Linked DNA regions of Daphnia pulex. The protein of the gene in region 2 purifies or fractionates together with the protein of the main gene of each other region. This does not show direct contact. Links are inferred from orthologs where the notes say so. Each region holds a gene or a part of one and is shown on either strand. Other genes may lie near its edges. The genes, in order: serine/threonine-protein phosphatase 2A catalytic subunit alpha isoform and serine/threonine-protein phosphatase 2A 55 kDa regulatory subunit B alpha isoform-like.

Evidence for each region.
Region 1: the proteins of serine/threonine-protein phosphatase 2A 55 kDa regulatory subunit B alpha isoform-like (region 2) and serine/threonine-protein phosphatase 2A catalytic subunit alpha isoform purify together in Caenorhabditis elegans (affinity purification with western blotting; 3 studies listed by BioGRID, with this or other methods). This does not show direct contact. The link is inferred for Daphnia pulex from reciprocal best matches to the Caenorhabditis elegans genes sur-6 and let-92.

The regions. Positions count from the first base shown.
Region 1 is NC_060026.1:13,484,833-13,501,151, forward strand, and holds serine/threonine-protein phosphatase 2A catalytic subunit alpha isoform, read right to left. Parts: upstream 7,425-16,319; 5' UTR 7,196-7,424; coding exon 7,094-7,195; intron 7,020-7,093; coding exon 6,810-7,019; intron 6,470-6,809; coding exon 6,206-6,469; intron 6,135-6,205; coding exon 5,962-6,134; intron 5,895-5,961; coding exon 5,787-5,894; intron 5,709-5,786; coding exon 5,636-5,708; 3' UTR 4,565-5,635; downstream 1-4,564. Other genes in the region: transcription termination factor 2-like, read right to left, coding at 8,070-8,423, 8,506-9,003, 9,073-9,223, 9,282-9,430, 9,491-9,802, 9,897-10,027, 11,490-11,666, 11,735-11,932 and 4 more; uncharacterized protein LOC124203690, read left to right, coding at 10,441-10,614, 10,676-10,858, 10,924-11,235; beta-1,3-glucan-binding protein-like, read right to left, coding at 14,782-14,991, 15,060-15,258, 15,335-15,527, 15,596-15,723, 15,786-15,920, 15,988-16,187.
Region 2 is NC_060020.1:1,076,126-1,092,120, reverse strand, and holds the start of serine/threonine-protein phosphatase 2A 55 kDa regulatory subunit B alpha isoform-like, read right to left. Parts: upstream 9,529-15,995; 5' UTR 8,324-9,528; coding exon 8,296-8,323; intron 1,431-8,295; coding exon 1,344-1,430; intron 1-1,343. Other genes in the region: uncharacterized protein LOC124192179, read right to left, coding at 13,630-13,792. UniProt on the Caenorhabditis elegans protein: Probable regulatory subunit of serine/threonine phosphatase let-92.

The DNA.
Region 1 (16,319 bases), on a different chromosome or scaffold from region 2:
TTAATAAGTAAGACAATGAAACGCTGTTGGTCCCTACGTACAGTAAATGTCATTCCCTTTTTCGGATTTAATCTACAAAATAAAACGACAATTTCACGCAAAAGGAAGATAAAGAATAGCAACGGTCATTAAATTTAATCATTTCGTGTTAGTTCATTTAACGGTTGCTAATGGGAATCACGACTGGGTCACATGTCGATCAAAAATTCGCAATTCAAATTCGAGATAGAAACAAAAAAAGTTCTTACCTGCTGCCTCCACTTTGAAACGTTCGTTTGGTATTTTCTTCAATGTCGATGGTGTCTTTTGTCTTCTTCATCTTGCCAAGTGCCAGGATCGTTTATTCACGGCTTCACGCTCATGAGGGATCAATAATGATGATGACAAATTATTCCTCTGATTACGTCAACCTCTCTAGAATCAATCAAACCAATGCCTCAAAATCAACGTATTTTCAACATTAATCTCCATCTCACCAGAATCAACTAATCGTAATCGAATTGTTTCAACTTTAACAGCAACACTGTGTTGGCAGCCTCATCGTCTAACTTAATATCGAGACAATGGAGAGTTGGACGCTCAGTTTTGATTAAACTTTGCACAGCAGACGAACTTCCTTAAGAATCGAGAAAGCGGCGATGCCAATTCATCATTTAAAAAGTGGAAACAGCAAAATAACCCCAATTTTTTTATTTCTTTCTTTCTTTTGCCAGTGTAAAATTTGGAATTGACCTCAAACAATTTTGATTTATTAAAACATTACCATCAAGTCATCAACGAGCATAAAAAATTAAAAATAAAGCTCAACGTTGATCCCAATTCCCAACAATGAATTTTGTCATCCATGTTCCCCATATGTAAAAAACAAAAACAACAAAAACTTGCGGATATTTTGTATGCGCTAAATTTAATCCATGTTCAAAATCCTTTACTAAAAATAAAATTAAGATTTTGGTTCGAAAAGGACGTGTCCTTCAAGACACTCGAATGTTAAGTTTTGCTGTTGTTTCGCATTACTAAGATGGATCAAGTTACTCTTCTTTACTTTTTGTGTTACAACAGGCAATACGTAATTTCTTGTATTGGAGCCGAGACGTTATTTACCTCATTCGGTCTTTGACAATAATCGTACGTTTATTGAATTAGTGAATCAAATATAGAGCAGCGACAAATAGAGATAATTCGCAGGGTTTGCAGTCGAATGACAGACTCTGTGGTCCGGAAACTTGACCCGACTTGCCCTTATGCACAAAAGAGCTCCCTTAGTGACAAAAAACAAACAGAAATTCACTCTAGGTTTCGGGCTCATCTCCAGCCATCCGAGCTTCGCCTCTCCCCTTAGACCGCCGCCATGTTTCAGACAGTTGAGATCTAGAGGATCATATGTCAATTACGTACAAACCTTCGAAGCGCTCATTTGAAATGCAGAGAAACAAGAGAGGAAATATTATGTACAGAAAAACGTAACAAGAAAAAAGAAAATGTCAAATTAAAATTTAAAAAAAAAAGGGAGAAGAAGTTTTAGGAATTAACGAGTTGGTCAATGTTCTGGCGCATGTACGTAACATTAGCACTTGCGTCATAGCGCATTACGGGCACCCCTTGGCGATTAACAAGAAATTTCTCAAAGTTCCAGCGGATATCGTTGACGCGAATTTTGGTGTAATACAATTTGGTGGCTTCTTGGAAATAATCTCGAGTAGGCGGACAGCAACTCTGTAAATTTGTAACACAATTAGTAACATTAATAGCTAAACAAAATAATAACTTGACACTATTCACCTTCAGATAAGAAAATAAAGGATGTTCATTATCGCCGTTGACATCAATTTTTCTGAATAGTTTCATTTGGGGTTGAAAATTGTTACCCGGTCGAACGTAACGGATTCCGTTCAACACTTCCAAATCTGAGCCACCTGGTTCTTGCTGCAGTCATTTAAATAAGAAAGTTGTTGGACAATTTGATTGTTGAATCGATAGGGAAACGGAGCGGATTTACCTTGCCGAACTGGTTACAAGGGAAAGCTAAAATGGCCAAATTATCGGCAAGCTCCTCTTGTAGTGCATTCAGTTCGATGTACTGTTCGGTAAACCCTCAGTAAGTCGCCACATTGACGACCAGCAATACCTGAATTGTCCCCAAAATTTAATTGAAGTGAAAAAAAAAATCCAATAAAATAAATGAGTTACCTTTTGTTTGCCATTCCTGTTCCTGAAACTTGACAATCGAATGTCAGTATCTTTAGTCAGAAGTTTCTCGGAAAATCGAAAAATGGTGTCGTTACAATGACATGGTTGACTTTTACGAAGCTCAATAACGACATCATCTTCAGCGAAAGTTTGACAACCCCACAGCATCAGCGTCAGCAACACGACGCTAATGGCGCTCATCTAAAACAGGGGAAAACAAGATGCTCCGATTAATGACAAATTCAATACAAAACTAAATGTTAAAAATTCGAATACCATCTGAGCAGCGGCGGCCACCATAGCCACGAACTGCGAGTCAGAGAACGACTTGCGCAGCTACCGAGATTCGCTGTGGTTGAAATAGTCGCCATACAGGAAGAGTCAATTAACTTTTAGAGGGGCGTTATTGCGTTTCTTTTGGGAAAAAAACCCCAACGATTAGACTAATAAGGACGGGGCAATATCTTGTCAACTGGCACCGCCCCATTCGAGTTCAAATGCATCATTTAAAAAGGAAAACTGCTGTGCTTCATTTGTAGCTTAAACTTCCATGTATTCATCCACAGCCGTCGTGAGGGAAAGTACGAAACAGACTCGAGCGGACAAAACCGGCAACTGAAACCGGATCTGACGGCCCCCGAATGCACAAGGGAGCACGAAAACGAGAGCGAGATGGTAAATGATCTCTCGTCCGTCACATCCTTAATTCAAGTCGAACCGAATTTCAAACCTCTTCTCCAAATCGCCGCCATATTTCGGGCGGTTGAGATCTGGAGTGTCATTACGTCACGCGCGCCAATCTCGTTTTCCCCCCTCACAACAACACGACTGCTTCTAAAACATTTACAAGCAAGTTAAAAGTTCCCTCAAGCGGAAAAAAAAATAAGATTCATAAACAACAACATCTACACGAGAGAGGGGAAAAGAAGGGATTCAATGTCATCGCGCATATCCGAGACCCGAGAACTGGCATCGTAACGTTTCACAGGTTTGCCCTTGCGGCTGATTAGAAACTTTTCGAAATTCCAGCGGACGTCGTTGTTGCGCATTGGACTGTAATCCAGTCTGGCGGCTGGTGCGAAAAAATCACGAGTCGTCGGGCAACTTTTCTGTTATTAAAAAACGGAAAAAGATAATCAAGATCCGCACCACTCAGTATTACGACGTCACACGTCGTGATGATAAAAAAAAGCATAACTTACTTTCAGATAAGAATATAAGGGATGTTCGTTAGCGCCGTTGACATCAATCTTGCGGAAAAGCGTTATGTTCGTCTGGAAATCGTTTCCCGGCCGGACGTAACGAATCCCGTTCAGAATCTCCTCATCTGTACCTCCGGGTTCTTGCTGTGAAAAGTTCAATAAAAAAATTATCAGATTGAAGAATCGATTTTTACATCACCCAGGAGAGGTTAGTGGCATTTTCTAAAAATAGTAATACCTGTCCAAATTGATTACAAGGAAAAGCTAAAACAACCAAATCATTGGCAAACTCCTCTTGTAGTGCATTCAATTCGTGGTACTGATAGGTGAACCCTCAGTAGGTTGCCACGTTAACGAGGAGCATCACCTTTTGTTTCATAAAAAGAAGAAGAAAACAAAATAAAACAGGTGTCAGAGGATACGGAATGCGCACCCTTGGCGGTTTGCCAGACTGTTAGAAACTGGTAACCTCGAGAATAATAATCAGAAATGGATGTCACCTTCCCGCTGAATTTCGAAAGGCGTAATGTCCTTGAGCTGTTGAGCCCCTTCTCTGCATAAGCATAAACGCTGTCAATGGAAGAGTTGGACGTGACGCAGTGCTGGCTCACTTTGATCTTGTCTCCGCTTACCATGGGCCCCAAAAGGGTGGCAGCCGTGAGCAAAATGCCCCAAACCGCCATTTTCACCCGATCTAAAAAATTTAAAAAAGACATTACATCACATGCAATTCCAATAACAATTCATAACGTACGGATAAAGATCTAAATTCAAAATTTGTTTAAAAAATGTAAGCTTTGTTTTACCGTTACTTGCTGGATAAAAAAGAAATCAGCAAGTTCAATCTTCTCACCCGGATGGGTGCTCGATCAAGACTAACGTTTAAACTAAACTCGAAGTTGGTTGATGAACACATCGAAAAGTTGCGACATTGCAGCAAACGACATTAGCTACGCAGTTTTTTCTATTCCAGAAGCTCCAACCGGTGTCAGGTTTCTTGCTTAACCTACGTGATTTAGAGTACATTTTGCTTAAACATTAAAGAGACTTTGCCCTGTGGCGACTTTGTACATCAATCGCTGCAAAAGACTTAAGAAAACTCGTAGTCATCGCAAGCAAAGTCAGCCATCCGTTCGGAATGAGAGTGCACGACATCCAACTGAAAGAATTGGTGAATGATTACGATTTGTATTGATCGAGGTGAACTTCCAGCATTTTTTTTTTGTTGGCTACAAATGACAGTGACGGGACACGACATTTAAAAACCACTCTTCTTCGGCTCGCTCGTTCGTTTTTTTGTTTTCTCTTGTTGTTGGATTTACTTCATTGTTGGTTGGTTATTTTTTTCCCTTAAGTGTGAACTGGATCGCGTGGTCTTATTTTCGAGGAGGGAGGAGGAAGGGAAGGTTCAAAGGTCACCATCTAGATAGTTATTAGTACAGGACACAAGGGGGGAAAGAGGGGAACAGCGACATCAGCATGTCCCCATCTGATGTTTTCGAGACAAGTCATCAAAAAAAAAAAGCGTTAGTACAATGGAAATCTGATGCTCGTGGTCTAATCTTTTTGTTGGTTGTTTGGGCGGCTCGTCTGTCGGTATACAGTTGCTCTTGGCTCTGACACGCGCTCTCTCTCTCCTTTTCTTCCACCTACTTCTCCCTCACTCTTTCAACTCTTTTTTCTTAAATAAATCGTAAAAGATGGTTCGAGGGTATCAACGGGCAGGTAGGAAAGGGGACAAAAGAAAAAGGGAAGTGATACTAGAATATACCAATTGCACGTTACTCTCTCACGCATTTACGACACGGGCGAGAAAATAGGGAGGGCGGGGTGTGAGGGAGGGGACATAAGGAGGTTTTTTTCCGACACAAAAAGAGAAGATTCCATGTTTCATTAATATTTGTAAAGAACAAATCACGAACTCCAATTTTAAAAAAAAAAAAAGAAGAGACTGTAAGGGAATAGTGTGTGTGTGTGTTTTTAAGGGGTAGAGGGGGAGGGTATGGATGTTGATCTTTTTGCTTTCCATTCAAGAAGAGGCGCATAAAGAGGACGTTTTAGTGGGGATGTGCAGGGTACTCTTAAACCTCGACTTAGTAAAATCTATACTCCGAGCGAGGAACAAGAGAAATGAACCGAGCATGAAAGAAAAAGAGAAGAAAAAATAATAATAATGATAGTAAATTGAAGGAAGAAAGGAGAAAAATTCATCGGTGTTCCGCGATATTTTTTTTTTTTTGCTCTTAAAGGAAGTAATCCGGCGTGCGCCTGGTTACGTGAGGTTCTCCTCTTCTTGGAGCTGGATCGAACTGCAAGCTGTAATTTCACAAACGAGAAAGAAAATCAATAAATGTCTTCTAGATGTAAATTTAAAATGGCTGTTTAAAAACTTACAAGGAGTATTTCAATGAATCATCCAGTTCCATAATGGCCGCTTGGTTGCCGCACCGGTAACAATAGTTGGGCGCAGAGAATATCGTTACCACATTGCGATCGTGACACCTAATGAAGCAATCAAACGTTCAGCCCCAGTACCAACAGATATGTCTTCTGTAAGACAAAACATTACCAGTTATATCCTTCCATGACAAGTTGATGAGCCCTAGAGACCAGAGTCAGGTTGTTGGAGTGATTGAAAGTTTCGGAAATGTCTTGGCCGAAGGTGTAGCCAGCTCCACGGGGGGAAATCCCCCAGCCACCTCGGTCATCTGGATCGGACCATAACAGGTCGCACATGGGGCCCTATTTTAGCAAACGAGACGTATAGGTTGACTAAACTGTGATGTCAAAGTGTTTTCAGACAGCGAACTAACCTCGTGAGGAACTTCTTGGAGACGATCGAGAGATCGAATGTGATCTAAAGTGTCGATAGAAGGGGAAAGTCCTCCGTGAAGACAGAAAATCTGACTGTCGACAAGTGCTGTCAGAGGAAGATAGTCAAAAAGATCGGTGAAGTACTTCCAAACGTTAGCATTGCCGTATTTCCTTAGGCACTCGTCGTAAAATCCGTAGACTTGTGTGATCTGACGAGACTCGTGATTTCCTCTCAAAATGGTAATTCGTTCACGGTAGCGAACCTAAATTGAATGTAATGGAAAAGCAACCTTAGTAACAGTCATACAAATGTACAGTGGAAAAAGTTAATCTAATTCTCAATTGAAAAATCAATAAATATTTCAAAAGCTATCAGCTGCGTAATTAGATAAAAGCCTCCACAAAGCTTTGGGCAAGCCCACCATAAGGAGCAACTTTCAATTGCATCATCCAAATAGTCAACAAACCTAGTCATATCATATTTGAATCTTATTGATTACATGACTTGCAAAAAAAAAAATTCCAAGTATTACCTTGAAATTCTTAATATCCTACTTCTAGATAATTAGTTGAGTCATGTCTGTGGAATAATAAGCAACTCACCTTGAGGGCAACAAGTAATGTGACTGTCTCAACGGAATAGTAACCTCTGTCAACATAGTCTCCCATGAATAAGTAGTTGGTATCTGGAGATTTTCCTCCAATTCGGAAGAGCTCCATCAGGTCATGAAACTGTCCGTGGACATCACCACACACGGTGACAGGGCATCTGACTGGCTGAACATTTGATTCTTTGGCCAAAATTTCTTTTGCCTGTCAAATATAGAACAAACCATAAATATTTAAAGCATTCCATTGATGCAAAAAAAAACGTTGAATGTACGAACCTTTTCACATAGGGTTTTGACTTGGTTCTCGGCCAACTGCTTGCATTCGTTAAGCTGCTCAATCCACTGGTCAAGTTCTTTAACCACTGCTTTCTCTTCCATGGTGAATACTTTACAAATTCGTGCAATACAAAAGTATCAACAGACAAATTGATGTGTCGGTGGGGCCACGAAAACTCAAACGTAACTTCTTGGGCTTGCTTACACTTAACAGAGCGGGTTTAACATGTATCAGTGGCCACCCCCTTTCTGCCACTTTTTCCTAGATAGGAAAATGGCCGCTTCTTTTCATAACGAAGACTTTCGCCACCAGGGGCAGGCTTAGAGCGTTGTGACGTCACATCGTCTCGGCAACGGCTGCGATTCAACATTGATTATATTCCCTTTAATCTCTTTCTTTCTCATAAAACACAAATCAACAGTTTCAAAGCATTATTTTTTTCTTGATACTACTTTTTACTAATTCGAAATAGATTGTCATTCGTTTTCATTGATTGTCATTCAATGTTAATCGATATCTTAATAATCGATTCAGATTGACGATACCAAAACAAAAAATTTTCGAATTTCTATTTTGACGTTTACCATTATTTTGACCAAATCCCCAAGAAATTGGTGTGGTTGAATGCTTCCAATATTTAATATTGCATTTTAATTATTATTTATGCTTAATTTTTAAAATTGTAAAAAATGTTGTTGTCTTAGTTTTATCAGTACAATTGACTTTTAACCTTTTTTCAAAATTATTGTTATTTGCCACAACATGAATCAGGACATCAATTATTTATTTATTGCTGAATTGAATTCAATACATTACAAAGTATGAAAAATACATTTCCTTTTTTAACTTGAGTGTTTTTTTGTTTTATTGAAAACTATCAATTTCGAACTGGATTTAATATAAGGGAAGAAACCGAAATAAGAACGCATCTAAATAACACGTGATAGATAAATGAAGGGAATAACATCACTTCACTTAAACTTCAGGTTGATTTAACATGGGTTTAGGGGCATATGCAGGCGGGCCAGGATTAAAGAGCATTTTCAAATCATCAATAGTTAAACCCTTAGTAGCCAACTTCGCAGCTCCAGTAAGTATGCCATTAGCCATTGCCAACTTTTCCTGCTGCAACTGAAGGATTCTTTCTTCTACAGTTCCCTGAGTTATCATTCGGTGTACGTGGACATCTTTAGTTTGGCCAACGCGATACACCCTGTCGCAGGCTTGAGCCTCAAGCTGAGGATTCCAATGCATATCTGCGATGAAAATATGGTTTCCTCCAATTAAATTGAGGCCAACTCCACCAGCACCCAAGGATAGAAGAATAACCTGAAAGCAAAGGAAATTGTTAATAAAACTAGATTTCGTTAATCAAATAAAAATAACGAAGAAATAAAAATATAAATCTTACCGGTGCACCGTCTGGATTGCTATTGAAATCTTCTACGATTTGTGTTCGGTGTTTGATAGCAACGCTACCTGCGATCAAATGGCAGCGAATGCGCATACGCTGAAAATGCTGGGCAAACAGATCCAGCATGGATGTCCATTGCGAGACCACCACAGCTTTTTGTTTTTGAGAGACAACTTTCCTGACCTCCTCGGTAATGTACCGCATTTTACTGCTCATATTATCGCGATCGAAAACTGGGTTAGTATGGGTAAAGAAGTTGGTTTCTTCTTTCTTCGGCTCGCCCGGTTTATTGTCCAACGTCATGGTGGACATTTGAGAAATCAAATCCAGATCGTTTTCCTCGATTTTGGCGTCTTCGCTCCCCATAGATTCCGAGTCAGTGGCATCCAACATTGTTTGAATCAAAGCGGGGTGAGAGCAAGCCTGTCTGAGGCGTAGGAGGAGCACCAACATCATCTGTTTCGTCACGTTCTTTTGGGGAAGTTCCGGAAGATTCTAGAATTTAAAAAAAGGATTGCGTAAGCTTCACGAAACTAACCACTTGTTATGACTCATTTAAATTACCCGGCGATCATAGGTGAAACCGTAACCTTCTTTAATTTTGTTTTCTTGATTTTTGATGTATTCCTCTAGTGCCTTGCGTGAAAAGGCGAGGAGTTTCTGATAGACTTCGTTCTCTTCTTGTGATAACTCTACGTTGTGAGTGTGTACCTCCCTAAAAAGAAAACGTGTAAAATGTTGCAGCAACTGCAATAGCAAACCAGCATTCATACCTGGCAGGCATAGCAACTAGCGGTTTTTCGCTTCCTTCTACCTTTTGATCTTTGGTTCGACGCAAGAGGAGAGTTTTGATCAGAAGCTGAAGACGTCCTTGGGCTTGTTCGTTTTTATTTTTTGAAGAATCGACCCATCGCTTCCATACCTGTAGTTGATTAGGTATTACTTTAGGTACAAAGAAGCAATAATTAATTCCGAGTCTTACCGCCAGCTGATCGAACGGCGTGACACGAAGAAAGCGGAGAAGGGAGTACATGTCCAGCTCTTTGTTCTGTACTGGCGTGCCAGTCACGACCCATCGACGGGAAGCTCGGAGTCTGCACACTGATTGCGATATTCCGGCTTTAGGATTACGGATCACATGAGCTTCATCTAAAATGATTCGGTCAAATGCGATCTGCAACAGAACTGACTGGCTCATGGCCTTGGCATCGGTTTCCACATCAAAATCTCCAATAGGCTTAGAATCGCCATCCTTTTTGTCCAAACTCACATTCGCAATTTCGCGGGAGACAATCTGTAGAAATGTTTGAAATTTTAAAAATAAACAAGAACACAGAAAACGTATGCAGATAAGACAAAGACACAACTACACAAATGAGTAAGTGTACCTGATAAGTTGTGATTACAACATCATATTGATGTAGTTTGGACGCTAACTTGTTACGATCTGGTCCATGAAAAATAACAGTACTCAACGAGTTTCGCTTGCAGCGACGATGAATTTCCTTCTCCCACTGGCCTGATAATTTAAAAATACATGAACACAAATGCATATCACTGTTCAAATAAAAGCTTCACTGCAATCAAATGTTTTAACTGTGAATCAAAATGAGTCATAACTTGTGACTCATAAAAACGCGTTTGAGAATTTATTGAAATTCATCTTTTATCTAATCAAAATGCATTCTATTTATTTTGGAGAAAAATGTAATGCATCTAGCAATAACAAGTACGATTTTTCCACGTGCAAACTAATTTAGGACGCCATAACGTAAGCCGCGCCTTTTCCCAACCCTTCCGAGTGTGTAACCCTAGGCCACCCCCCCCATAACCGGAGGTTAGGTAGAGGGTGACCTTGCTTCGCAGATTCAGTTTTGTTGCCGGCATTCACACGTGGTAGTCGATTTATTGTCGTGTTCGAGACGAGCCAAAATGCAACGTGAAAATGAAAAGTCGTTAAGCTCACCAGGTGCTTTTGTGTCTCCGAATTCAACCTCGAAAATACTTTCTCAAACCCTCGTTAGTAGACCTAAAGGTATTGCAAAACAAAGGCGAAACGAAAAACAGCAGGTTTTGTACCACTTGGAGCAAGTCATCGACGTTCAGGTAAGTTCAACTAAATTGAAACTTGTGTATCCTCTATTGAATGTGAGATATTTTTGATTAGGAAATGCTCCATGCTTTGAGCACACAGAGTATTGGTAGTGCCATTCGTCAAGACTTTCTTCGCGGATTACAAGGGGCTCCACAACTAAGCCAGGAAGATATCGAAATTTTGAAGACATTTCATCGACTTACCACTTCAACTAAAAGTCCTAAAACTCTACTTGAATTTGTCATGAATGCACCGGTAAAGAAACTCGTTCTGTGACACTATTACTATCGTTTACTTTAACCACGTTGTTTTATCTTTAGATCGAAGAAAACTTAAAAGCATCCGAGCATTTCAAATTTCTGATGGAGGGAGAAAGAAAATCAGTTCCAGGGACTAACATTACGTACTACGATGGAAAGGCAATCATCTCTCGGATCCTTCGCAGTGGTTATTTCAGTCAACGTCGTTTGAACAATGCCAAAGTGAAACACGAAAACGTACCGATTTCACCGTCTCAACCAACCCCGACAAGTCAAACGACACCCAAACGAATCGATTACCAAGATGTCGATGTCGACAGTCTTTTGGTCAATTTAAAAAAACAAATGGAAGAAACAAACAGAATCGTCTAGCCAGAAGATTTTCACAGTCGTAAAACGTAAGTCTAAACGAATGTCTAGAATTTTACAAATTCAATAATCGCTTTTCTTTCATTGCAGGCGAGAAAAATTCTCTACGAGGAACTTGTTACTTATTTCACTCACTGTCCTGATGTTACAAAGAAATTCCCATTCCCCGTTTGGTTCATTAACTCTTTCCATGTTTCTTGCCACTTGATTGTTGTGAAGCTACGTTTAATAAACTAAGTTAATTGGATAACACTTACCCACTACACTGGCGGGGCAAACAACGAGAGTACCAGATGACCTTTTGATCTTGACGGTCTTGGAGAGCCAAATGTTGGAGGACGCAGGTGGTGGAGGATCTAGTTCCTTTTGTTTCACGATCAATGCAATCATGGTCAGTGTCTTGCCTAAACCCATGTCGTCCGCCAATATTCCACCTAAAAGAAAAATAAGAATAAATTAAGTTTAGGGAATAACTGAATGAACAAGTAATCACGTCGCTTACCAGCAGGAATTTGAGTCTCGCGCCATAAAAGCCATTTGAGTGCGCGCTCCTGGTGCGCCAAGAGAGGAACTGTGAGGCAGGCGGGCGTACTCTCCACATCGGTTTCTTTTGGGCAACTGGCGAGAGAACGATGAAGGTTTTCAAGCGAATCCATAGTGATGGAAACAGCCTCACGACGGGCAGCAGCAGAGATGTAACCTATTTAAAAGGAGGAGAATTTGAGTTGCTGTAAAAAAAAAAACATGACTATTATTACTAACCGGTTTCCGTTTTCTGGTAGAGTTCCTTTCCCGCATTATCGGCAAACATCTTCTTCTGCATTTCGGTTAGTCTGGGAGCTTCAGGAAGAAGTTGGGTTTTTTTCGGTTTTACAGCTAATTGGCGATTCTGCGTGTCATTTTGGAAATCCAAATGTTTTGAGCCGTAACTGCTGCTGCCGGCGTTGGTTGCATTGGCAATTGACAACTTAATAAGACGACCCTCCATGGCACCGATTTCAGTTCGCAGGCGCTCCTTGTCGTCGCTATTTGCGTTACCCATGGCCCACTAGAAAAAACAATAATAAAATTTATCTTATCTTCAGAAAATAATTGTTGGAAAATAACCTTTTTCATTTGTATTTGTTTTCGAAGTTCATCTTCTTGGACTTCACTTGACGCTACTGATGAAACTGGAACGGGGCGCATTGGGGGATTTACACCGAGTTTGTTGGCTGTTTCTAGCTGTTCAGTCAGCTTACGAATTTTGTCTCGGAGCCTTTCTCCTCCATCGGGCAATGATTTTAAATTTGACGATACCAAAAGAAGTTTTTGGCGCTCAAGATCTTCACGCATCCGCGTTATTTCTGCTGCCGAGAGTCGAACAGGAAGAGTTCGTGCAATTTCCGGTGATGATAACTCAGTTATGCTCTGATCTTGTTCTTTTCCTTCAACTTCAGGGCTCGAAAAAGATACAACAGTACTTGATACCTCAAGAATACTATTGGATAGATCTTGGATCGGTACTTCTTCTTCCTCTACAAGAGGCTCAGGAGGCGAAAATCTTTTATCGGCCGATTTCCTCGACATTTCCTGAAATAAAATAAAAAATATATTAAAGGTCTAATCATAGGCAGCTTTAATCACGGCCAACTTACATGATTAGCGTTAATGGGATCCATGTTTGAATCATTCCCCGAAACGTGTCTATCAAGACTGGTATTGCGAAGAGCACGCTGAATCGCTTGTGGTGTAGGGATACGAGAGGACGAAGGGAGCCGTGGGGCAATGGCTTCAACCTCATCTTCGGTAGATACGTCACTGTCGATGATTTGATCTCGGACATGAGGAGTTTTTATACGAGGAACCCTTACTTCTTCTTCAGTAGATACGTCACTGTCGATGAATTGCTTTCGGATACGAGGAGTCATCTCTTTCCTAATATTATCCTCAGACTCATCTTCAGTGGATGATAATGCAGCTTTCCTTCCAGTTTGTTCACGATAGACTCGCGGTGTTGCTTCAACACTAGAATCGGACTCTTCACTAGTGTCAGTGTCAATTGCTTTTCCTCTAACCGGTGGTCCACTAGAATCGGAATCACTATCAATTGGATTTCGGGTTGGCTTCTTCTTAACGGAGGAACCAAAAGAATCTTCTGCGGATTCGTCAGAGCTATCAGAAGCATTGGCCTTCTGAATTGCCAAGCCTTCAATGTCAGAAGTTTCAGCAGAATTTTCTCCAGAACTTTGAATCACCAATTTTGCTTGACGCCTTCCAGCTTGAATTACTTGGTAAGATTCATCCAGGTCTCCAATTTGACTAGTTGAATATTTTTCACTAGATCCAAGACGTTTTCCTCTCACACGATATGACACATCTTCTTCATCAGACTCATCATCAGACTCGTCTTCTGAACTCTCAATAAATCTATGAGCCTTTTGCTTCGATCCTTTTTTAGTTTCAAAAGGACTGACAACCAGGTTAGAGGATCGACTTTTATCTACCTCATCTTCAGGTTCCTCATCATCTGAAGATCCAGGCCTAGATGAATGCTGGGACTCCTCCTCTTCTTCTCCCTCAACGCTGTAAGAGTCTGAATCTTCTCCCTGTACTGACTCTTCTATCTTCTCTGTACGTGAAACAGCAGATGCTTTCACATTAGACTTTGAGTATTTATTAAAAGAATGGGCAGCTGGAGTTTCATACGCCTCGTTATCAGACACATCTTCAAATAAGGAAACAGAATGATGTTAGAAAGCCTTACTTTTCAAATTCTAAATGTTTTACCTTCTGGTGTAGATGGAACCAGGTCACTTTCATCATTCAATGGGAACTTGGACATTTTGTATGTCAATTCAGCTTAAATTCCTCTAGATTCTGGATTTGAAATTTAGGTGATCATGAACCAGTAGAGCATTAGCATAATGTACAAAAGGTTTACCATAAAATACGAAGGCAGCAGTAGAAAGATGACAAATTACCTAGCTTCCTCTCTGTCTGACCTGGACTATTCTCGTGCTTTATTAAATATTTCGTTCGATAAAAGAAAGAAGAAACAACGGACATGAGTACATCACCAACTCCTTGTCACACTTGTTCACGATTTCTTTCTAAAATTTTCGAATAGAAATACTGAGGCGTCGTTGCCAAATATAAAAAAAAGAGGAGCCAACGAAATTTTATGAATTATTTTTTTAGTTAGAAAAACATTGATTAGGCAAATTCCTATTTTGAACTTTATGAGCAATTTTTAATTCGAATAGGTTTTCCCATTCATATTTATATTGTTGTTTTAATATTAATTTCTTATTTCGATCGTGTACGTGCAACCGCAGTAGTTGGGGAGGAGTCTAGTACGCGTAGTGGGAAATTTGAAAACCTTGCACCATTGAGCATTGACACTGCAATACCACGGTCTAACCGTGGTAATACTATCTCTTTACATCAAATTATGAGGTGAAGTAAATAAAGGATAAAGAAAATGTTGCATTCTTTTATTCTATTCTTTTAAGAGTCAAGTTAAACTTTCCATAAAATCAATTTTTTTTAAAATCAGTTTGTGGCAATTTAACCAAGCTGATACACGCGAATATAATCAACCTGCATTGTGTTGTCTTCAGTGGCAGCATTCCATGTGGGTAGCCATTTGTCGCGGCTTTCCCAGAAAGTTTTCATTTGAGTAGGATCAGATGCGGTCCACGGCTTGTCATAAACGGCATTTTGACAGCCGTCAGGGAAGTAGTTACCTCCGACAGCGACATTAAGAAGAAAATGGAACTGCACAAACACGACGACAATGATGTAAATGAAATATTTAAAATAAATAATAAAAAAAAAATATATACTTTTTGATCGAAGGGAGCCATTACAGTTCCACCGCTCCAGAGGTTCTGTCCTTGAAATCCTCCCAATTCCCAGAATCCACCTGCAGGGGGATACATTTCACCAATCATTTGATCATCAATGAAGAATTGGAAACCAGTTGGAAGCCATTCGACACGGTAAAGGTGGAAATCGCTGGCAAAATCTGGATTCTGAGTGATCCTTTGTGAAAAATAAAAACGTTTAACATTATTCTAAGTAGTAACTATAATTAATTCATGCACATATGTAAATTTACTTTTCCCAGTGGGTAAGGTCAAAACGGTTCTGGTTGGGATCAGGACCCCAATGCAAAGTGCTTCCTGCCAACTGTCGCCCTATCGGATAGCCGTTGCACGAAAAATCGGCGTTTCCTCGGGACTCTACGATGTCAATCTCACCCGATCGTGGCCAACCACCATAAATTTCGTCAGTAGGCAACATCCAAATTGCTTTATAGGATATTTCAATACTATTAATTTCCCAATTGTTTTTATATTTAATAACAACTCATTTCTACCTGGCCAAATCCAGTCACCTTTTGGCATTTTAGCTCTGACTTCGATTGTTCCGTAAGTAAAACTGAACGAATCACTCGTCACCATTCGGGCAGACTGAGCTGGATTGATAATTTCATTGCCAGCCACCCTATGATTGATGAAATGAAAATGGAAAATCAAAATATTTTTGTTACTATATAGAAATATTACACGTAGCAGCCTCCATCGATGTTAATATTGCAACCCTCGGCGTTCAAATCAAGGACACCGTTGTACAGGAAATCCTCGCCAAAACGATCCGCTGTCAAAGTTGGCTTGATGTATAGGATCCCATTTCGAACATAGCTTTAAGGGAAGAATCATAGATTAGTTAAAAGCTTAAAATACATTTGTCTCTGCTCAATTAGTGTACCTGTTTTCTGGGAGGTTGTCGTAATACTGGAATTCGTTGTTACCACCTCTCCATGCAGTGATCAAGTGCTTCCACCTGCTGTAGTCGAGAAAGTCGAATTCTTCTTGCCAGATGAGCGGACCACGCGCTGGACTGTTGAAACTGGCTCCATGGCAAACGGCCAGGGCAGCAGCCAAAATGGCAAAAGTTGCAAGCTTCATTTTCCCTCTTTGCAAGTAGGCTAAAATTGAATTCCTGCTTCTCTTGAACACTTGAAGAAAGACTACTCTAATCTGAGCGCAGAGTAGTGCCTTAAATACGCATAGTGTTTGTTTTGTTTGCAACCCAGTAGG
Region 2 (15,995 bases):
TGGAATGGGGGGGGGACTATATGTAGTACGTACAATAATACATTCAGACGGGCTCTCTGAGTGTATAGTCGATCCGTCCGTGCCAGAGTAAATACACAATAATAGGCCTACACATATTAGATGTAGTCTACCAACAACTGCCAAGCTATACTAGATCCGCACACAACACATGAACCACCGAAATCAATAAAGATATGTGAGCACTGGTGGGGGACTCTCTTCGCTATAAACATCGAAATAAAAAACCGGATTCGTCGTTTCGAACCGGGCAGACAGGAAATATATATCTACTGTATATAATAACAAACAAATAATATATATAACAAAGAATAATGACCAAACATGGAAGAATCGAATCAATCCCCCAAATGAAATTCGATTGTCCTGATGTCTGCGTGTCTGGCTGGCGCTCGCCATTGCGTGTCCTGCGGTTTGAATTTTTTTGTTTTTTTCTCCCTACGGGAACAAACACGGCTCCTTGGCTCCTGGTTCTCGTCCAGCAGGATATATAGACAGCGGGTTTAGATCCAGAAGGGCTTATACGATATTAGGAATCCAATCCCGCTGGCCAGAGCCAACGACGGTACGGAGATGTATGCCACCACTCGTGCCCAGCACATACCAACAGTAGATAGATTCCCACAAACTGAATAATACAAGACATATACGTGTACTGTACAGCTGGCCAGCACGGTCCACCTCCTTGTGATGGGGGGGAAATGTCATCGCCATGGCGCTTCACTCTCCCAAACAATTAGATTTGCCAGGGCTGCCGACGCCGAACCGGTGCTGTGTATAGACGCCGGGCATAGCAGCCGACGTGAACGCAAAACGGAAATGGGTGGGAGGAATAGGACGTGGAGAAAGGAGACACCGCACGTAATACATTGGTGGTTAATAAAACGGTGCGTGTGTGTGTGTGTGTGATCGATCTATACGGCCATAGCTTTAAATAATATACACACAAGACAGTCACGCTGCGTGACGGTGTGGATCCCGACGGTTGTCATTCTTCCCGCATTCATTAAATTATGACCCGTCCTTTACGGTCGAGAACTACTATGAAAGGAAACTGGTGAACTGACTTTTTGCGATGGGATGCGCTTAAATGTTAGCGTGATATTACAAGAACTGCGGGAGTGAATGTATACTAGCTATACTATGATCAGTCGTCGTATATGCATACAAGTGCTGGAGCTGCTGCTGCCGACGATTAGCATAATGTGTTGTTAATTCGGTTGGCGTATGATGGAGACCCCCCAAAAATTATTAGCTACGGCAAAAGGCTCTGTAATTATTAATTAAGAAAGTGGGGAGGGGGGTCATTAAAATAATTGTTTCACCTGGTTTTTTGCTGTTTCCAACGGCCGTGTTCAGCATGGAGCCCAAGCGGGTGAGGCTGGACTGGCGGATCATCAATGGCTTGAATGCTGGATGCTCCATATTAGAAGATTAAACATTAAGTGAGGTTCTCTCTATATTACACAAAGAAGAATGGCACAGCACAGACACACACAAAAAAGAATAATACAAAACTACTTTAGACACCAGTGCAAAGTGCTCCGTTGATTTGATTTCTTTTTTCAAAGAAAAATCACAAAAGTTAACACACTAAAAAACCAAAAAGAAATAAAGAAATATAAATCTTTTGATATTAGTTTTAAGGAGAGAATAAGCGTATAGATAAAAACTAGTGGCGGGAGGATAAAGTTTCGGTAAGTGTGAGAAAAGGGAAGTAAAGGTGGGAAAACATGAAACATGTAACGGGCAACGAAAAGGATCTGCTGATAAGTTTTAGTCCGATAGTATATATACTACGCGCCGCAGAGCATTTTTATAAAAAGGGGAGATAAAAAAGCAACCAACCCCTGGCTCTCTCTATTACGTCATTGTGTGTAGAGGAGAGGAGAAGCTTACAACAGCCGAATCTATATAGCCCCAATGTGTACTTTGTGTTCGGTACCGGTTTAAGGCTTTGAGTGCTTTAGCTAATAGATTAAACAACGCGGGCTCCTAATGGCCGCACAGCAGCAGTAGTAGGCGGTGGGGCCTCAAATGAAGATTATGTATACGGCACAGAATACCAAGAAGCTGCTGCTGCTGGGCCTGGAAAATCCGCGCCGAAAAATTCAAACAGTTTTCCCTTGAAAGAAATCGATGAATGAGAGAACTGCTTCCAGGAGGCATATATATAAAAGATTGCAACCAGCTAGGAGACACGGAGCTATACACGTATATGACCTTTGAAGCCGATGCGCCAACCAGCCAAGGATCGATGCCAAGACTCGACTTGTGTGCTGTCGGCCCAGGTGGACAGCACAGCACAGCAGCAGCTCGGCGGAACGACAATCTCCGCACTTAATAGTTGATGCTGTATAGCGTCTTGTTCGTTTCCTGCCCGCGCATCTTAATACCGGCACAATATCTCAATTGATTACAAATTATTCCGCCCTTGTTTGGGTTATTCATGCCAGCGCACTTATCGGGCTCTTGTTTGTACCTCTCTCTCCCGGCTCGGCTATTATTCGGCATTTTTTTTAAATTAAATTCTTTACACCTTTTTCGTTCACTTTTAGACTTTTCATTTTTGTCCGATCGTTCGGCCATTTTTTTTTCTTTCTTCACGGCCGGATCGATCGCCCCTTTTCTTTCCCAATGGACACACCACCGACTGCGTCTCTACGGAACTTTTTTCTTTTTTTGGGTTGTTGCTCCTGCGATTTTCTATATGAAGGAGCTCAAAAGTAAAAGTTAAACTCATTTGGGAGCCACCCTTAAGGAGGCACAGGTTCGATCAATTCTTTTCCGCTATTTTCTTGTGTGCGCGCTCGCGGAGAGATCAAAGCCGAGAGACGAGAGTTGGATCAGGTCCCAGTCAGTTGCAGACTAGCCGTGAGGATCTAACAAAAGACGTTGATGGTGACAGCTGAGTGACACGTCAGCCCAACCACTCGAATGAGACAATTGGATCAGAGAAGCGATCAACCACCAAGATCCCAACTATATACTCAATGAGAGAGAGAGAGGAAGGATCGCTTCACGGGGGAGGATCTCGCTTGTTTGGGTTGGCAAAGACCCATAATACACATATATATAGAGAGGTGCAAAATCGTTTCAGTCAAGAGACATATATCCATCGGCCGATCAATATTTACTATAGACACACACACTGAGCGGAGGCCAGGCTGGCAATCAACCTCGGGTAAATCCTGTATATCATATCTCGCCAGGAAAGGATATCGCCCCCCTCTTGTCAAGGTGGGTAAGATAAGTAACCTCGGTCGTCTTGGTGAGTACATACAGGCGAAAAACAGCATTTACTATGAACGGGAAAAGCGAAAGAGGATACGCATACTACTACCCGGATACTATACACAGCAGCTCCAACCCGGAGGAATATGGAAGGAAGGAAGAAAAAACGCAAATAAGACTTTCTATACTCCGGAGCTGGTACACATTGGGAGAGGAAGAGATCATCAAATTGAGGCAAATGACGGAGACTTCCTTGATGATGGACGAGAGATAGGATCGAAATGAAACCAGCTGGTCCCCTCCGAAAATCTAACAAGGTCTTCCTCCCGATAGATAGTGGATAGACGTTCTATCGATGTAGACATCCATCTCGTCCATCTTTCAATCATCTTTTCCTATCTTCCTATTGTGTATATCGTTCCATTTTTTTTTGTTTGCCATCGTCGCTAGTGGAGAGGGGGGAGAACCTCTTTGGCTCAATTTTATTTCTCGAATAAATCAGAGATCGATACGTTCGAGATTACGTGTTTCGTCCATCAATCGAAAACTGCCAATCTGAATGAAAGGTCATCCTCGTCCTCTTGATGTGTGTATATAGTGTTGACTGCTGTTCTCTCTCTCTCTTGCCGGAGGGGGAATCAGGACGAAACTACTACGTCATTCCACTCTGAGTCAATAATAGTTGAAAAAGAAGTTGACGTTCGTCTGAAACGCATTAGCTATCAAGTTTCGTTGCCCCATTATTCGTCTCTCTCTGTCCCACTTGGATGCCCACGACTTGGATTCTTCCGTGTAAACACTATAGTGTACACACGTACTTCTCTCTCTCGTTGTCTAGCGTCGCATGTTACGACTTTTGTTGAATTGCGGAAAAAAAAACTGAAATTCAAAATCTTACACCGAAAAACCAAAAACGACATCCATTTCAAAATGACGTTTGTTCTGCTGTTGCCAGATTATTTTCAGCCGCCAGTAACATAATAATCTGTCGAAAGTAAAAAGTTTAAGTCATCCAGGGTCGAACTCGTCTAGAGCTCAAAAAGAGAAATGACAAATGGCAAACAAAGCATCAGTCCTCCAAGCCAAGTTGTCAATAAAAAGAAACTGAACTCTCGGCACACTGTTGACTCTGTTGACAATTTCGGATGACGTTCTTATTTTCCTCAGACTCCGAGTGGATTGCCCCGCGTTGTGGAGAAAATGTGGAGAGCCGCCGCCGTTGCGGCAGAATAAGAGAGAGATCTTCAAACAAGGTGCAGTGCACACAGATGGATTCCGACTTGCACAAGAGTGGGAAGAATAAAATAAAATCAAATAAAAAATAAAGAGAGAGTTGCTGAGGTTTCATTTTTGTAAAGCCGCGCCCTGCTACGGTCTGGAAAACTTTTACAAGCGGGGGGGAATAGTCTCTAAATAAGACGAAAAGACAAATAAAAGAGAAATGAGGTGATCCATCATCCTCTCTCTTATTTCTCTCTCTCTGTCGCCAAGAAATTGATTTCTTTCGCTACTCTCTCTCGCAGAACTTGTCTAAACAAACACTTACACAATAAGCGATAGTATATATAAGTAAGAATATACAAGTTCCGCCGTATATAGATATTTTATTTCCCGGCCCAGTTACGACTTTGTGTCTGTGTGTATTATAGTACTACGTCTGTAGCTGCTCTGTATTATAAGCTGCCGATCTTATTATTTTTCAAGTTTTTTTTTCAAATTTTTTAGACGTCGAGACTTGAGAAAAAGTTTTTCGTTGGCTTTATTGTGTAGGTATATATATTTCCCTTTTATTTTGGTTTCCGCTTCGATGGTTTCGGCTTAGCGCACCGGGATGTGCATATACCTAATAGCTTAAGGAGGGAGAGGCTTCGGCGGGAGTTCACCCAATATGTCAGTCACTTTTATTTTGATATGGGCACGTTCAATATTTCTATATTGCTGTGTGTGGTTGTTATGGTTATGTGTGTTCCTGTGCTGTGACTTGAATTCATGTTTGATTTGATTGGATCCCCCCTCTCCCTTTTCTTTTTTCTGACGTTGTCACGAACGATCGAGTTATTTTGAAGTAAAACTATTCGCATTTCAATACCTATACTACATGTGTGTGTGCCATTTTTGTTTGCTCGTTCGGAATTGTGCAATTGAATTCACGATGCAACAAAGACTTTACGTATATAAGCTCCTTTCTTTTAAATTTTGGAGCATTTCGATTCAGTCTTTTTCTCTGCTGAGAACTTTTGTTTCACTTTTGCTGTCTGCTCGCATTGATTGCGACATTCGTGACAACAGGTTTCTTTATCGCCCCCTTTCAGATTTTTCTTTTCCATTCAAATTATTATTCCAACGTGAATTTCAATTGATTAAAAATTCGGCGATTGACGCAATTCGAAACTACCGCCAAAACAGACAAACACATTTTTCGGTTTTTTTAAAGTGGGTCATCCTTTGCGTAATCAAAGTGTCGAGGTTAATATCGTCATAAAAAAAAAGTTCCCTTTTTTATCAAACGGTCTGGGCCAGCCATATAAAGATATAGAGGCTTGCATAATCATTGGTTGCAGGCCAAGTGTGTTATGCACAGAGATGTTTGCCGTGACACTTGTCAAGTCACTAGATAGGGCGGCAATATATTAAAAAAAAAGCTCGAGTTGTCAAACGCAAAAACGTCTCGATCGTATAATCTAAAAGAAAATTGAAATAAAAAAGAAAAGGAAAGATTGAATAAAATGAGTCGACTGACCAAAATTTTATACAATATTTGCCTAGCGGACATTTAATCTGACGGGTCTTAAATTCTATGCCGTTAGCCGCTCGTAAAATGTTCCCACTCGATAGCACAAAAGGTCGACTAATCCATACATGTAGATTCCCTCCAGATAATAAAGTCGTCATTATTGTACAACAGGCTTCCTTATATTCTTTCCTTCTCCTTTTGGCTTTGTGTGTGTGGATCCTCGACGACGTGGAGGAAAGATAATAAGGACAAGTAGGACACGGAGAGAATATGGCAGAGAAGAGGGGCTTCTTCTTCAACTCTTCTCGGTTCTTTTCCCTGTTGATAGTTTGGCACACATGACATCATTAGATTTCTTCTTCTTTTTTCAATTGGCTTCCCATCAGAGAAGTCACAGGTTTCGGTCTGCATTGAGTTGATTTGATATTGCATTTTCTACCTGACGGACTACTATATCGTTATTCAGCAGTCGACCCTTTCAAATATAATACCGCAAGTCTCTATATGTGCTGCTGGATGGTGAGCACATTAGAGCGCCGTCCTTATAATGCAATAACGGGTCTTTTGTTTCAACTTTGACCAAGTTAACAAGGAGCGGCGATGCACGTAATAACAAATACCGCGGGGAAATTGAATTGCATCCACGACGAAAGAAAAGGGGCAATAGCTCAAAACCCGCCATGTCTAGTAGAGATAGAATAGCATGGTAATAGAGTCTGATATCATATAGGAAAAAAAGGGCCAGTCGAGTCCAGGACGAGAGAGAAAGGGGTACCCGCGCAACTATTACTAGTACTACAAACGAGGTCTATATAGATTAATAAACGGGAAAACTTTTTCTTATCACGTTCCAACGTAATGCAATATAGCAGTATCACCTGGAAACCGAACCCCCCAAAAAACAAAAAAACAACTCTCTCTCTTATTCATTCAAAAGTCGAGACAAAAATTTGGATAACAAGAATAAAAAAACACGAAGAAAAAGGAGGGGGATTGCATGTCGTTCATTCTCTCTCTCTCCCGAAAAAGGCAAAAAGAAAAACACCAATTCTTTTTTGGGGGGGTTTTTAATTCTTGTTGTTGTTGTCTTTCTCTCTTTCCCCTATGGCTCTGTACTACTACACAGCGTGACTGTCTCTCACGCTCCCTTATGTGAGTCGCTTGAATCTATACTATACTTCTTTGCTTAGATGTGCGCTGGTTGGAAGACAGTTCAAAGTCCCGCGTGATATGGCAACACGGAACGCTCACGCGGTTCAACCGTTTCTCTTTTCGTTTCCAAATTTGTTTTATTTTTGTCCTTTTTTTCTTTTTTGATTTCATCATTGGAAATCCAAAACGAAATAAAAACAATGGTTCGAGCGCGCCCGGTGTGTCTGTATATGTGAGACGAGAAGAAGAAATTTAAACTTTTAAGTGGAACGAGGAGAACTGCCTTTTCTTTCGGCCGTGATTGCTGCGCTCGGCTGAGACTGCCGGCGCGTGCGCTTGTTTTTCTTTATTATTATTATGAAGAAACAATTGTAACGTGAATCCAACAGCTTGAAAGCGAAAAAGAAAAAAACCAATAATACAAAAAAAAGGGGTGCCGCTGCGCCAATCGAATTGGAAATGATTTTCGTTCAACTTTTCCAAGGGAGCGACGACAGACAGACAGAAACAGAAATATATCAGACACAAACAGAAGAAGAAGAAAACAACACAAAGCGCTGAGAGAGAGAAAAACAGCTGGGCCCGGCGTGTTGTTGTCGTCGAAGAAATACGCAGACTATAGCCTAGCTGCTGTGCTAGTGCTATATACACGAGAGCTGAAACTGCACCACCTTTTGTCCGGCAGCATCGTCTCGAACGCACAAGCGTGTGTGTCAACAAAATGCGCATTAGCGTTTACACGCAGTCTCGAATGATGGAAATGACGGCACACGCCGAATATCTAATAACTGCCCGTGTGTGTGTGTGTGTGCATGACTGCAATAAGAGAACCTTTGCTTGAGAGTATTTTTTTGTTTTGTTTCTTTTCGCCTGAATCAGAGTTTAATTAGCTAATTGCCTTCATCGTCTAGATGATTACGAATGTCTAGCGCCGGGGGAGGCCGGAATTAGTAGAGAGAAAGGGGAAGTATAGGTAGAGACGGCCACTCAAGCGGATAATAGCCGTTGGGGGTGGGGTGGGGGAGGGAAGTTATGTGCATAACCGATATATATATATATGTACTACACCATTGACAAAACAAAAGAAAGGGAAAACTTAGAAACATTAAGAAATAAAAAAAATAAAAAAGGAAAAATGAAATCGTGTCGGCCATTACCTCTCGTCTGTGTAAGAAACGTAGTCATAAAAATCCCAGTCGAAATTCGATTAGGAAAATGTCGCGGAGACCAGACGGCGGAATAACTTCTTTTTTATTATTTGGCTTTTTTTTTTTCCTGTCCACTAGAGATGATGTAAGTGCGTGAATGAAACAACTCTCGTAATAAAACGTCGCGCACTATACGCACACGGGAGAAGAAAAATTCGTTTGATTTTTGGGCGGCTGCGACGAGCGTCAAACTGTCGTCGGCGACGGCGTCTGGTGAATAAACGAGAGCCCCGACCGATGATTAGGTCTGGAAAAGAAACAAGTGCTGCTGCTGCTGCTGCTGCTGTGCGTGTATCAGACACTCGTCGATAAGAGGCGGACGCCCGTTTGATTTACGATGGCGGGCGCGAATCAACAGCCGCCGATGGAGATATTCCAACCAATTCAGGAAAAAAAAGAAATAATAATTTGTTTCGTGACGATTGCACGCGGGAGTTCGCCTTCACTTTGCGTCACTGTCGTTGAACGTCAACCGAGTGAACGGGAAAATATCAAATAAACTCAATCGGGAAGAACCCGAACAAACAACCAAAATAAAAAGAAAAAAAAGGAAAAGGTGAACGCGCTTGGCGGTCAGCAATGGATCGACTCCGGGAATGGGAATAACTTTGCATCGGCTACTGCTGTGGTGGTGGTGATGGACGTGGATGATTTGAGGTGGTGACAAATCCGCAGGAACGGGAGTAGCATGGCGTTGTCCAATAAGGAATAAATAAGGCAGGGGGCTATATCAAATGCCGAACCCCGGCGTGATGGGAATTTCTTATCGAACGAAAAAAACAAAAATAAAATATTTCTCCGGTGAAAACGACTTCCTCCTTCTCTCCGTTCAAGTCTCTCTCCTTCCTCCTTCCCTCCCGGGCACGGGTGTCTAATGATAACGATCCGAATAACCCCGGATTTCGGTCGACGCAACACCGGATGAACTTGAGATTATCACGTTTGATGATGGTGATGATGATGAACGACGCGTGATATGTCTAAGAGCTAGAACAAGGTCCTCTTCTTCTTCGTGAAAAGAGGTTGTTGTTTTGAATTTGAATAAGGAAAGAAGGGGGGAGGGCGGGAGAAACAAAAACAACGAACGGCGGCTTGTTATTTTGTTTTGTTGTTTGAAGTAGGGCGCGCGGGACACGCAGATAGAACAAAGCTTGTCTTGATGCCCGACCGGGACCAACTGTTGGAAAATGGGGAAGTTGGACGACCAAACACGGCAGAGCGCCCACCCGCGGACTCGGGCGGCGACGGCGCGCGGCGCACGGGCTCACGACGTGACGACGCCAGCGCTCTCTGCCAGCCCACGGCACCAAACAAATCAAACCAAACGAAAGGTTGGACTGGGCTGGCAAGGGTGGGGTTATAGTTACCGATATAAAAGACTGTCTAAACGTCTGCACGTATACGGTTTATATAAACATTTCTCGGCGAATGAAAATCGACTTTGAATGAAGAAAAGAATAAAAAGAATAAAGGGCCAACTTTTAGAAATTTGGGGAAAAGTTGCGCTTATTCCATTAGCGTACGCTATGTATATAAGCGCTAAGCAAATTGAATAATGAATCAAAGACATCGCCAAGTCTAGACGCAGGATTGTACCGCGGGCTAATGGAATAAAGTGGATCGACAGTGAGCTGGAGAAGAAAGAAAGGAAAAACAGCACGGGGCCCAACTTCTTTGAATATAAATAAAGAAAAAAAAAAGTAAATTGGATCGCACAGGTGAATCTCATCGTAAATGCTGGGCGGAGCCAAAAAATGAGGGCCCGGATGGTAAAAGGAAAAGAACGTTTGGCATGGCCACACCACTTTCGGCACAGCAGCAGCCGTTTCCCGAGCAACCCAAAGGCAAACGACGTCATCGCAATGTCACATCGGCTGAATCACAAAATAAAAATGTGTGTGATGTCGCCGAGCGCTTCTTTTTTTATTATCATCATCATCAAGGCTCTTCTTCTTCTTTCTAGTCTATCCTTTTATCGGGCGCATTCTGACGTCATTGGCCGACTCAACAACAGGGGCCCACCATCATTGATTGTGTTTTTATTATAACAAACGAAGAAGTAAAAAGTTTAAACGACGGAAAAAGTTTGCAACGGGAAAAAATATTTATTTGATCTTGCGCCCCCATCACCCGACGGTTTGGCGCTATCAACTTCTTATCACAGCGAGAGAACTTGTTGACTTCTTTTTCTTTTGCTCTCCGTCCAAACAACTGAACTCTGCGATTCTGTCGTCGGTATATATTTTCGTTTTGTTTTTCCTACTCCGAGGACGCGACGTTTGGGAAACTGGCCGTCATCACCCGACCGTCGAGATGGACATCAAGCTCCGCAATCTCACATCAACGTCTGTGTGTCTGTGTACAGTAAACACACCACCCACACAATCAATGTGTGTACACATGCTTGGCGAGTCCGCAAAACGGGAATAGTAAGGACAACAAAAGAAGGAGGAGTTTGAATCGAAGGAGCGCAGTTGAGTCATATGGGACGACTCTCTTATAGCCCACAGTCTTATACTTACTCTCGGACGGATCGATCATTTCTGGGTCACCAAACAGAAACTTTAACGATATAAATACACACGCGCGCGTGTCCACTCTGTTTGGGGGCACACTAAATCCCCTCACCCCCGAGCTGAGGGATTGACTGTTACGTCATCATCCTTTATTCCCATTGATCCAAATGGAAAAGAAGAAGAAGAAGAAATGACCCTTTTTCCATTCGAGTGTGGGATGAGTGCGCACCTCGGACTGATCTTATGGATTACATTTTTTTTAAATCCTTTCTTGATTCTTCCCGCTATAGCGTCAAGAATTGTTGTTCGGGACGATCCTGCTGTCATTGGCGCTCGCCAGATGGCACGATCGTTCCAGGAATCCTCTGAAATTCGCTCCCATTTTTTCTGTGCTCTTAGCCGTCCCTCTTCGATTCGTTTTGTTATTGCGCAACGGGAAACACCAATTTTTGAACAAGAACCAATGGCGAAAATCCTCGTCGGTTAATTCCATTGATAATGAATGGCTCGGGTCGATGCGCTAGATTGAAAATCACGTCATCGAATAACAAACAATTTCCAAGAGCGCAGAAACAGAGTGAAGGGGTAACCTGTTCAGCTTAATTGGTTGCTGAAACTGAAGTTCCTTTTTTTTATTTTCTTCTTCTTTCCATTTGATAATCGCCTTCTCCCCGTCCCTTTTCGGAGCTGCACGAGCGAAAACTGGCAACGACACACATGCTGCGCTGCTACACACTCGGGTGAATGAGCGAATGTAATCATCCGAGTCGCGTCTTCAACTAATCAGCCACTCGACGCTGCTTTTGCGCTTGCTTGTTTCTCTCTGCTGCTGCTGCTGGGTATATAGGTGGGAAGAAGAAGAAGCCTTGTATAAACTGTTATGTACTTTGTGTGTGTGTGTGTGAGTGTGCTGTTGTTATTCGTCGTTATGCTCGACCAGCTTTCAAATAGACAAAGCGGTTGCCTGGCGATGACGATGGAATATCTCTCAAAGCACCAGGCAAGTCCTCGCCAGTGATGATCCAATCTATAATCAAATAACGTGCCGTACGGTACGTTGTATGCAGCACACAAAAAAAGAAATGTTTTGGAAGCTGAAGGCGGGAGACACACATGCTGGGCTGCCTCGTCCCCGTTGTTAAATCGTTTCGTACCCGTTGACTCCAATCATCAGATATACAACACCGGACCCCATACAAATTTAATAATTCACCAACACTCTGCGTATTACATACGAAGCCTTATATTCCCTGGAAATAATATTTCATTTGCTGTGCAATGTTGTATTTTCATGAAAATTATTTTGTTTTCCTACAACGTCAAACTATTACACAGTCCACTTGGCCTCTTTTTATTTTTCCCCCCTTTCTCTCTTCTTTATATATATAGGACCCCCGTCGGCTATTGCCTAGTAAGACTCGTGTGTTTGTATATACAGTCAGGTGCGCAAGGTGGAACCTGATTCGATCAAACAGGGAGAACCGGTCGTTGGCTTGTGTGGGGAACCTGATGTTCAACAACGTGATTCGATCAGAACCGAGAGAGAGAAACAACCAAATGAAATAAAACTTGAAGACAGTCGACCCAGAGAGAGAGAGAGAGAGTCCCGGTGGAGACTTGACAAACAAGAATTTTATGAGCCAAGAATAATATAAAGAGCCATCGATTATTCTTTTTCTTTTTTGTGTCTGTCTGTTTTTGGTTATGTTATTTTGCATCGGATATATTATGTTGTTGAGGCCATATCCTGCTAGTAATGCCAGCATGTGTAGATAGACATTTGGGATATCGAATTCTTGGCTGCCCAGCTGCTGCTGTGACAACCGACACAGCCAACTAGAGTGTTTTTTACTATACTTATTGGTTGTTGTTTTTTTGTCGATCGTGGAAAATACCAATAAGAATAACTGGAAAGGAATTGACGAGGAATAAACCCATCAAGATAATGGAGCCATCTGACTCTCTCTATTGCGGGAGCAAAAGGAGATGTAAAATATATATAAGGAGCATTGCCCAAATTGAAATTTTCTTTTTTTTTTCCTTCAAAAGTGCAGTTTTATTGGAAATATAACGTTCGTAAATGGCCTCTTCGACGTGAGTTTTCTTTCAAAAAAGATGAAATGATAAGAGACAATGATGCCAACAGACGAACAAATAAATCAATGTTATACAACTAATATACTATAACTTTTTTAGGTAAATAAGAATATGTCGATGCTATGTCCTTATACATCATATAGAACGCTATACAGCTTTTACATTTACTTATGTAATAATAAGCCTGGTTGGATATATTTTTAATAAATTATAAACCACACATTTAGATTTTATTTTAGTTTTTTTTTTCTCATCGGCGAAACGGAAAAAGGAATAAAAAAGGAATAATTGACTTTCAAATTTCAAACACAGTATAATACCGTCGGCATGTATATATATTTATACTATTTTCATCTGACAAGAGGAAGAGAGAAATTAATAAGTTTCGCCAAAGAATCAGGAATCGGGAGCAGAGCAGAGAAAAGTCAAAATCCAATCAAATTGGACTGGTAATAGGTAGAGCAAAGAAAAAGAAGACGAAGCGGAAATTGATCAAAAGAGGATAGAATTAACTGAAAAAAAAAATGATCAAAACGTCGAGAGAATTACACGCGAGCGGAATATTATCTTGAAGAATATAATTTCAGAAACAAATTAGCAGTAAATAAATATTCGGCGGCATTTTTAAAAATTCTTTTTTTTTTCATATTTTTTTTTCTTCTTCGATGGATTATCGGAAAACGTGATAGCTGGGCATCACGTTAGCCCAAATGAGGGATATCGTGATGACCGATGCGGCCGCCGTAACTATCCGCAGCCAGCCGGGTCGATCTGATGGCGCACTGTTGCATCCGTCGCCGTCGTCGCAGCTTTGAAGGCAGCCATTAACGTACCTGAATATAGCACACGGAGACGCATCAGCAATTGGCCAGCACCAAAGAGACATCGTTCCAACAAAACCAACAAACACATCAAACCAAACATATCACTCTGTGATTTCAGACGCATATGCAAACACGCACTTGAATTATTATTAAGGAGGGAAACAGAGAGAGTTTCTTCGTCGTTATAACGGGACAAGGTACTAAATCAAATATTCCTTCGAATTTATTTTTGAAATCAAATTCGGAACAGTCAAAACTCCATTAGGTGTCGTGAAAAATAGACCACCGGTCTCTCTGTCAAAACACAAATCTAAAGGTGAGAAAAATATGGGGTCCAGTTGAAAGTACAATTTGAAGGCAAATGAAGAGTGAAAGGGTGTATAGAGGCGGAGTGATGTAAGGAATAGAAAGTGAAATGTGCACGGTGTAGAATAATAATGCAGAATGGGGTTGTGCACTGCTTGGGAGCAAAGAAATATAAGAGTGTCTGTTATAGTATAGTGATGATGTGCGATGCTTAGCTGTAATCCATCAAGCCATGCCGACGAGTAGGATATAGTCTCAAAACTTCATGCTGGCAATCTCTTTCGTTTAGAAAGGACGACGCCCAGGCTCAATCAATCGCTTCAACGAGCATTTCAAACCCGCGCGTATTGAATTTCAATGGCCGGATAGTACTATACTGGCGAAGCTGGATAACTCGGCATCCAGCAGTGCACGGCCGACGAGACTTTTTATATTTCACCCGCCCACTATACTGGTATAATAGACGCGGGAGTGAGAGGCTGTTATAAGCCGGAACACGAGTACGGAGAGCACGATCCCGATGTGTTGCTAGACGACGCAGTCTATATATCGTTGGGAAATCCGGAAAATACAAAACGAAAACAGCCGACAATATAAGATGACAGTAAAAGTTTCCTCTCTCCCAATTTTTAGTTTTGTTTTGTTTGGTTATCTGTTGCCCTCGGCTTCTTTTCTTCGTGTCAAATAAATAAATTGATGGGTCGTGTAACTCTATATAGCTGCAGAGCTTATATTATTAGTATGGGTTAGACAACATCCCGAGTGCGCGCGGGCTGCTGAGTGTATATAGCCTCAACATCCGCCGGAGAGAAACAAAAAAACAACCACATCCAGCGAGTACCACCCCACATCACCACCAGTGTGCTGCTGCCAACATTATGCGCATCTCAAACACAAACAAGACAACCAACAGACAGACACACAACACGTTTCCTCTCTACAGGCACAGCCATTTGAGATGCGCTTAACACGGACCTCTCAGATATGTGTGACACCGCTACATATATCATGCGCATTCCGGCATTCTCTTTCCGCATGCTTCCATACACACACACAACACATTCCGAGGATGCCCAAAACTATAAACGACACGATTTGCCAATATGAAACAAACAAACAGTCAAGATGAAAGGTTTTCGGTGGTCGTTTTTTTACCTGTCGTCGAAGTACAATCCTCCACAGTGAGACATGCGAATGATTTCTGTATCTATTGTCGTCGTCCCAGAGTCCAACGCACAACCTCTAACTAATGGCGCATCATTCAATGAACAGACATATTAGATCGACGCTTATAAATGTTGTAATAATAATCCAATATGAATAGAAAATGAGCAAGTATCGAAATTGTGGAACGTACCTACAATCGTTTCGCCCGTATCGTCTGTATAGAGAACGAAATAAAAAGACAAGGCGCCGGGCGTAACGATCGAGTGTGTGGACGAAGTGTTGATCGAAGAAGACCAAAAGAGAGAAAGAGAGAAAGACAAACACGAGACACAACTTAGAAAGATCAGAATATAATCAAATGATAACAAAAAGGCTATGACCAGCTCTCTGCTGATGCGTATCAAAATATAACCAAACAACCATCTCTCTCTAATCAAATCTAGATTATGATAACATTGGCCTCTCTACGAAAAAATACATGTAGTATATATAACCAGTTAGATTGTATTGATTATTATTTCTATAGCTAGATAGATATTTTTGCTGTAGATGATTTAGATCCGAAATGAATTCGGTTTCGCATGCGATTGATCGATGGAACGAAATACCCAGCGACAGGTCGATATCGGGCCAATATCACGGGAAAACCTCAACTGCGCCTAATAGCTACTGGCCCAGCAGACGGACCACGACAGCTGCTATTCGTCTAAGTTCTTTCGATTACCGGCCGCCGCCGCCG